Linked DNA regions of Oreochromis niloticus. The protein of the gene in region 2 interacts with the protein of the main gene of each other region in a biochemical or structural test. Links are inferred from orthologs where the notes say so. Each region holds a gene or a part of one and is shown on either strand. Other genes may lie near its edges.

The links.
Region 1: the proteins of fen1 (region 2) and hus1 form a complex in vitro, tested with the Homo sapiens proteins (2 studies listed by BioGRID). The link is inferred for Oreochromis niloticus from reciprocal best matches to the Homo sapiens genes FEN1 and HUS1.

What each region holds. Positions count from the first base shown.
Region 1 is NC_031974.2:193,551-197,305, forward strand, and holds the start of hus1 (checkpoint protein HUS1), read left to right. Parts: upstream 1-1,328; 5' UTR 1,329-1,463; coding exon 1,464-1,515; intron 1,516-2,157; coding exon 2,158-2,285; intron 2,286-2,402; coding exon 2,403-2,579; intron 2,580-3,003; coding exon 3,004-3,111; intron 3,112-3,201; coding exon 3,202-3,276; intron 3,277-3,755. UniProt on the Homo sapiens protein: Component of the 9-1-1 cell-cycle checkpoint response complex that plays a major role in DNA repair. The 9-1-1 complex is recruited to DNA lesion upon damage by the RAD17-replication factor C (RFC) clamp loader complex.
Region 2 is NC_031974.2:24,375,419-24,379,173, forward strand, and holds the start of fen1 (flap endonuclease 1), read left to right. Parts: upstream 1-1,377; 5' UTR 1,378-1,514; intron 1,515-1,950; 5' UTR 1,951-1,963; coding exon 1,964-2,045; intron 2,046-2,197; coding exon 2,198-2,300; intron 2,301-2,452; coding exon 2,453-2,555; intron 2,556-2,650; coding exon 2,651-2,714; intron 2,715-2,874; coding exon 2,875-2,984; intron 2,985-3,318; coding exon 3,319-3,455; intron 3,456-3,702; coding exon 3,703-3,755. UniProt on the Homo sapiens protein: Structure-specific nuclease with 5'-flap endonuclease and 5'-3' exonuclease activities involved in DNA replication and repair.

The DNA of each region.
Region 1 (3,755 bases), about 24 Mb from region 2:
ATGGGACTCAGAGCCTTTAGTTGTTCTGCCCCGAGACTTTGGATGCACTTCCACTTGCTCTACGGACCACACACTTTTAAATCCCATCTCAAAACCCATCTATTCAGAATTGCATACACCTGATTCTGTCTTAGTCCATTTTTACCTTGCTCAGCTTTTATACTTTCATGCCAGTTTGTTGTTGTTGTTGTTTTTTTACCTTATGTCTAAATTTTATTTTGCCACATTTATTATATTGTATTGTTGCTATTCTTCTTGTGCTATTGTAAGGTGACCTTGAGGGCCTTAAAGGCGCTTATAAATAAAATGTATTATTATTATTATTATTGTTTTTGCAGCTGACTGTGATCGACTGAGGTGTTTTTCAGCTGATAAAGAGACACAAATATTTTACCTCCTTATTTTTAGAAACACGTTCAAAGAAAATCACAAATGATGTGTGTCAGCGATAAAATGAACTCAATTCAGAAAACTCAGAGACGATAAATGAGCACATGAAAAAGAACAAACATGATCACAGTGTGATGCTTCAGCAATGGGAATAAACTTGTTTCCGTCTGATGGTAAAATGTAGGTTTGTGTTAAATCTTCAAAGACACATGAGATTTACACGCCTGATGTCACTTAAATTTATATGAGAAAATGTGTCCAAATCAATAATTTATATGAATAAAAATATAAATAAATACACTCAGCGGCACTTTAGGATGCTTATTTATTTGTTAAGTATTTTGAAGAAAAATATCTTTAATTTAATGCATGTAGACAAGCTTTAGTCTAATATTCTAAAAAAAAATTAAATTAAATTAAAAAAAACATTGAAAAGTTGCCACAAAATAAGGTTTTTAAAAGTTGTTGCCTTTTTTCTCTCTGGAAGTTGAAGTTCTTTTTTTTTACAGGATTGTCTGAGTATAATTTTTCTGATAAGATCCTAATATTACCTCACAGAGTAAAAATGAGCCACAGCATGCACAGGCTGCTGTTTCTGAGGGTTTTTCGTGTTTTTATTGGTCTAGAACAGGGTGTAAAACTGTTATATAGTGACCAATATTTAACGAGACATCATATCTTTAAGTGTGAAGAACATTCTGTGTTCACCAAAAAGCTGACTCTAGGTGAAAGCTGCCAAACGGATCTTTGAAGTTATTTTCTATCCCAGTTACAAAAAGATAATGAACAGACTGAAAAGTGTGATTTCAACAGTATGTAAGTAAAAATATAGACCGCACTGGTCCGCTACAGTTTTCTGCCCCTGTACAGACCATTTAAAGGGCCCTGTTCTGGTCCCCGTGCCACATATTTAATTCTGCTGGTTGTTTTCTCCTTTCGTTGGGCGGAAAGATTAACAGTTTCCATGTGGCTGTTGTTTCCGTCGGACCGTAGACACAGACGGACCAAACAAATGAAAAAGTTCCCCGCCTGAAGTCAAAGCGGAAGATTAAATTCTGCTGCCCGGGGGAAAAATGAAGTTTCGGGGGAAAATCATCGACATCGCCTGTTTGAACCACTTCACCCGTGAGTCTCAAACATCTGTTTGTACCGAGGGCCGAAGCTAAGCTGTTAGCTTCCCTCCAAATGCTGCACAGAAACTGTGAAAATAAAAGTACACCTAATTTAAAGTTCCTGAAGCGGGACTTTGTTCTTTCTTTAACTTTTCTGACATGTTAGGAAATGTCTGTAGTTCGGTTTACAGCATGTGCTCAAAGAGCCGCAGACTTTGACAGTTTAACTGGTGGTTTGTCCTGATTAGTGTTATCTAAATTCAACGAAATCTACGTGGAGTCTTGTGCAGGGCTATGAGTGCACATTTGGACCGATTCATGAACAACCACAAAAATATCAGCTGTATGTTTATGCTGAATGAGTAATCTGTTATTTAATGGCTCTGTGGAGCTGCTCTAGTTTTCCACTTTTCATTTTTAGCTCATTTTTGTTTTTGAAAGTAAGTTTTAATGTTAAAATGTCTAGTTGTACTTAGTTTTCAATAGTTGTAGTATTAATTGTTGTTTTTAGTGTGTTTATCAGGGTCATGTTATTCAGAAGTGCAGATCAGATACCTAATTAAACTAAACTATTAACTACTATTATTAAAACTAACCGAGTCTGCGTGTGACTGATTAAATATTGCTCCTGGTTCACACCTCTGATCTTTCTCAGGAGTCGTCACCACCATCTCAAAGCTGACAAAGATGTGCGTCCTGCGGCTGACCCCGGACAACCTGTTCTTCGTTCTGTCCGGTAAAGTGGCCAACGGCGGCGTCAGCATGTGGTGTGAGCTGTCACAGGTGAGAGCCGACGCTCCGGCTTCCAGCTGCTAAGAAAATAAACTCAGGAATGAGTCTGAGATGATCAGGACCTATTAAATTATTTCAGTACCCTGATCCCGTCCTTCCTCCCCGCAGGCCAACTTCTTTGAGGAGTACCAGATGGAGGGCGTGTCCTCCGAGGACAACGAGATCTGTCTGGAGGTGACTCCGGAGAATCTGTCCAGAGCCCTGAAGACGGTCCAGAACGCCAAAGCGGTCAAAGTCAAACTGACCAAGAAGCACTGCCCCTGCCTCACCATCGCCGCCGAGCTGGTGAGAGCATCCGAGAAAAAACTCAGTTTACCTGAGAAGTCTGTCTCTGCTACAGCTCGAATTATATAGGTTTAATTTCACATTACTATTCATAATATCGGACGATACGCTGCATCTGGGGATAAGTTTATCTACGGCCAGGTCTCCGAACCAGAATCCAGCCACAGGTTTATCAAACAGTTACATTTATAATGTGGAGTGGTTCACTCCAGTGTGAACCAAGGCCAGAAAACAATAAACGCAGCTGAGGTGTCGACCAAACCCTGAGAGGAAACTAAACAAGAGTCAAATCTAGAAGCCAAAAGCAGAGCCATAGACAGCTCATATTGGCTCGTCTTGTTTTTCTGGCTGCTTTTAAAACTGGTTTAACTCATTTGAACCTTTAATCTGAGAAACCTGAGCCCTCTTCCTCTGTGCCGCCCAGCCCACCCTGTCCAGCGTCAGTCGAGTCGTCACTCACGACGTCCCCGTTGACGTCATCCCCCGGAGACTGTGGCACGAGTTCAAAGAGCCGAGCATGCCGGACTTTGATGTAAGCGAAGCTTCCGAACACCAAATCATCCTTTTTATGAGCGCTGACTTTGTTTTGTCCATCACGGGTTGTGTGTTTGTGTCACTGCAGGTCAGCATCTACCTCCCTCCCCTGAAGACCATGAAGAACATCGTGGACAGGATGAAGAACCTCTCCAACTTCCTGGTAGGAGGTTAAACATGTTCAGATCAAACACGGACTCATACAGAGAAGATCTGCAGCTTTATTTCTCTGGATTTGGGTCATTTCAGTAACAGCTGTTGCCGCGGTTACGTGTAACAAACTGCCCGGCATTTTTTTAACATGACACTAAATTCCTTTCGTTTGAAATATGTGAAGAAACACATTTTCCTGTATTTCAGCCCTCCGCCCGGCCCGATGTAGGAGGACAAATATTGGATTGAATGTGAACACGATGTTTATGTCAGCTTTTCCTGAGAAGTCAGATTTAGACATTTTTGTCAACAATGCAGAAAAAATAATGTCATGTTTAAACTCGGGCCTCATGTTACCTGCGACAGGTGACACACAGAACCTGAAGCCTTATGTCGCTTTAGATGTTTAGATGAAATATGCTGAAATATTTGGAGCGTTTTCATCTTTTTACCTGCGGTCGGACAGGAAGTGAAGGTGTTAACACCTCG
Region 2 (3,755 bases):
CAGTTTTCATCCAGGTGCAGAGTTTCAGAGTTGCTTTCAATTTCAAAGCATATTAGACAAACATTAGTGTTCATGGTATGCTTAACTTGCATATGAACATGTATTAAGTTTGCGTTGGAATGGTGACGCATGATGATACAATGCCACGGCTCCCCTTTCATTTGCATACTCTACAAAGCACACAAACGTGTTCCCTATCAACTACATTTCCAGAAAAACCACAATCCTCACATTTTTTTATGCAAGTGATAGAAGGAGAACTTTAGAAGGGCGACCTAGAATTATTGCTGATGTGGCATTAGTGTTGAATTTCACAGCAATGCAAATTTGGTCTGAATGGTAAGGTTGCAATGCCTTTGATATAAGCCAGATCACTTTTTGATCGTCCCTTGTGACGAACTAAAGAATAGCATCACAGCTCTATGCACATCTGAACTTTTTACTGATTACAAGACTACATACGAAGCCCACGAAGTATTCAGAAAGACTCAAGCCAAAAGAGTTAAATCAGTTGAATGAATAATAGCAGCAAACACGCAGAAATGCCTCACACAGTGAGATAAGTAATAGTATATACAACAACTGCAGTAAGCAGTAAGAGCAAGGTCGCTACACTACAAGCTGTGTCCTGTTTCTGTGGACAGCAGCATGATTATAATCAAAGGGGGCCTCCTTAATTTAAGTAAAACAAGCGACTCATCCACATCAACGCTGTTTTACTCCAAATAAGCACATGCTCGCTAAAAAAGACTACAACAACGAAATCAGCACAATCGGATCTACCGTTCGTCCGTCCCGATGCTCCAGATCCAACAAAATCTGTCTGTCCGCCGGCTTCTTTGGACTCCAGGCCCCAGCAGGCTGCTCTCTTCTCCGCTACAGTGGAGCTCAGTGTGAAGATTCAGCCTTACAGCCGAGCATCTTGGAAATTCTTGATATCTTGTGTCAACGTAATATCACTACGTTCATATCCGGGTACACTGAGTACTTTTATTCACACATGGGCCAGTGTGGACGAAGAAGAAGAGCTCCGACTCCACGTCACCTTAGAAAATAAAAATAACGACGACTCGGCTGAGTTTTCCGGAGTGGGCGGAGAAACAAGAATACACCTGAAATCTTACCGGTTAATCCCAGCCGGTGACAAATTTAACTCACAAGCAATGTAAAATAAACGTGGAGTATTTACGGTCTTTAACGCCTCTGGAAATTATGAACTAAAAGGTGGGAGTTCGCGGCTTTCGACGGTGTTATTTTTTCCCCCTTTTTCCTATAAACCGGATTTCCTTCAACAGTAAATAACCAATCAGTGCCTTTGCGGGTCTTCCGTGTCGGAACTCAGGGCTGATTAATCAACCTTGCACTATCGATGCACGGTTTTTCGGAGTACCTGGAAGTGAGGCGCTCGGTAGATCGATAGAAAATGCCTGCTATTTGATTTCCCGCGAAACAGTCAGTTCCTCGCGCGCTAGGACGTGGAGCGGCTGCACGAGCTGAGGTGTTTTACTAAATTGGTGAGTCCGTTGTAAATGTTAACAATATATAACCTGCAAGCTAACTTTGATAGTAGATTGCTGCATCCTGTGGCATTTTCATTAAAGTCAGCTGGTACACACTAGTAGATCAAAGCCAGGATACATTTCTGCTCGGCAGTTTGCTTACATGAACTCGTCGATTTAAAGATCATTGTAAATTCACAAACCTGGCACACACATTGCTGAGAGATAACAAATGAGGCGGAGCTCGTCTTTTAATTGACATCAAGCCTCCGTTAAAAAAAAAAAAGAGCTTCATATTTGTAAACAACTTGTACTGTGACCTCTTTGTTTTCTCAAGCTTCTGCAGACCCGACCTGTACCAGTGATAGGGGCCTTTGTGAAATGCAGTGGGGATGGAAATGACACAGCATGTTAACCACAGAGCTTCACTCTCTCTCTCTTTTTTTCTCAGATTTTCTGACACAATGGGAATACACGGACTTGCCAAGCTAATTGCTGACCAGGCCCCTGGTGCCATTAAAGAGCAAGACATAAAGAACTACTTTGGTAACTGTTCCAGATTACACTCCTTATACATCAGTGATGCATGAGTTTCAGTCTACCCTCAATTTGTTGCAACATACAGTATGTAGTATGCATGATGGAATGCTAACTCTTTATGTCATTGTTGAATGAGCACCTCTTTTCACCTTCTGTAGGCAGGAAAATTGCTATTGATGCCTCTATGTGCATCTACCAGTTTCTGATCGCTGTGCGACAAGATGGTAACGTTCTGCAGAATGAAGATGGAGAGACAACAAGGTACTGCTGCAACAATAAACATTTAAAATTGAATAAGAAGACCTAATTGTAGATCCTTCATAGATGCAGTAGTTCCTCTGTTTAACCTCAGTGATTTGTAACTTAGGTCTGAACACACAGGAATGATTTTTGCCTTTACTCCTTTCTTCAAGCCACTTAATGGGAATGTTCTACCGCACCATTCGCATGTTGGAACATGGAATCAAACCTGTGTATGTGTTTGACGGCAAGCCCCCACAGCTCAAGTCAGCAGAGGTGAGTAAGGATTTCCTCTGGCCCTCACCCATCTGCAAATGGAAACATTTGTACTGACAGCTCTCTCTTATTCTGCTTGTGTCTTCATCTTCCAGCTTGAGAAAAGAGGGGAGAGGAGAGCCGAAGCTGAGAAGATGCTTGCCCAGGCCCAAGAAATTGGTAAAGACTTTTCTGGGGGGGGGGGGGGGGTTGTTGGAAGTTGCTAGTTTTTAAACCACACTTGGACTCAGACTATATCACAAGTATTATAGGAAAGTCTGTGAACATGTTTTACTTTGGGCATGAAAGTCTAATTGGATGTTTTTCTCTCTCAAACCAGGGGAGCAAGAGAACATTGACAAGTTCACTAAGCGTCTGGTTAAAGTCACGAAGCAGCATAATGATGAGTGTAAGAAGCTCCTGACCCTGATGGGAGTGCCTTACATTGAGGTGAGATTTCTATTTCTACACATTCTTGTGGCATCAAGAATATTTGCACAGTTATTACACAGTTTGGAGACATCCCTCCCATGAATGATTTGTGTTTTAGTGTTCCTACAATGTTACAGGCTTCTTATCCTCTTACCCTTACCAAGTTACAGTTATACAGTCCAGCTGGGGTCATTCACACAGAAAGACAGAAATGTAATTAAATTATGCCTAAAGCTTAAAAATATACATGAATTGGGATTCTGCAGTGCAGTTTGAGGTAGTTGCATTAAGACAGATTGTGTGTACCATTCTGTTAGATGTAATTTAATTTATTTTTTTCATTTCCTTAAAGGCTCCATGTGAAGCTGAGGCCAGCTGTGCTGCTCTGGTTAAAGCAGGGAAGGTGTTTGCCACGGCAACAGAGGATATGGACGGGCTGACCTTTGGGACAAACATCCTTCTCAGACATCTCACGGCCAGTGAAGCAAAGTATGAACCGGCATCACCTTTGACAGAGATATTAGCAGAGTGGAAATGACCTAAAGTTGTTGCCTTAATTCTACATCAGATTTATGTTTGCCATATAAATATATGTGTATATGAGATGGTTCAAATGAATAAGTTCACACTTCCAATTCATAAATTTGAACCAAGTTATGAGGTTTTAGGATTTGGTAGTTTGATAGTCGCCATGCAACATAAATAGTCAACTACAAGCTGTTTATTATTGTTTCAGGAAACTTCCTATTCAAGAGTTCCACTTCAGTCGCATCCTGCAGGACATCGGCC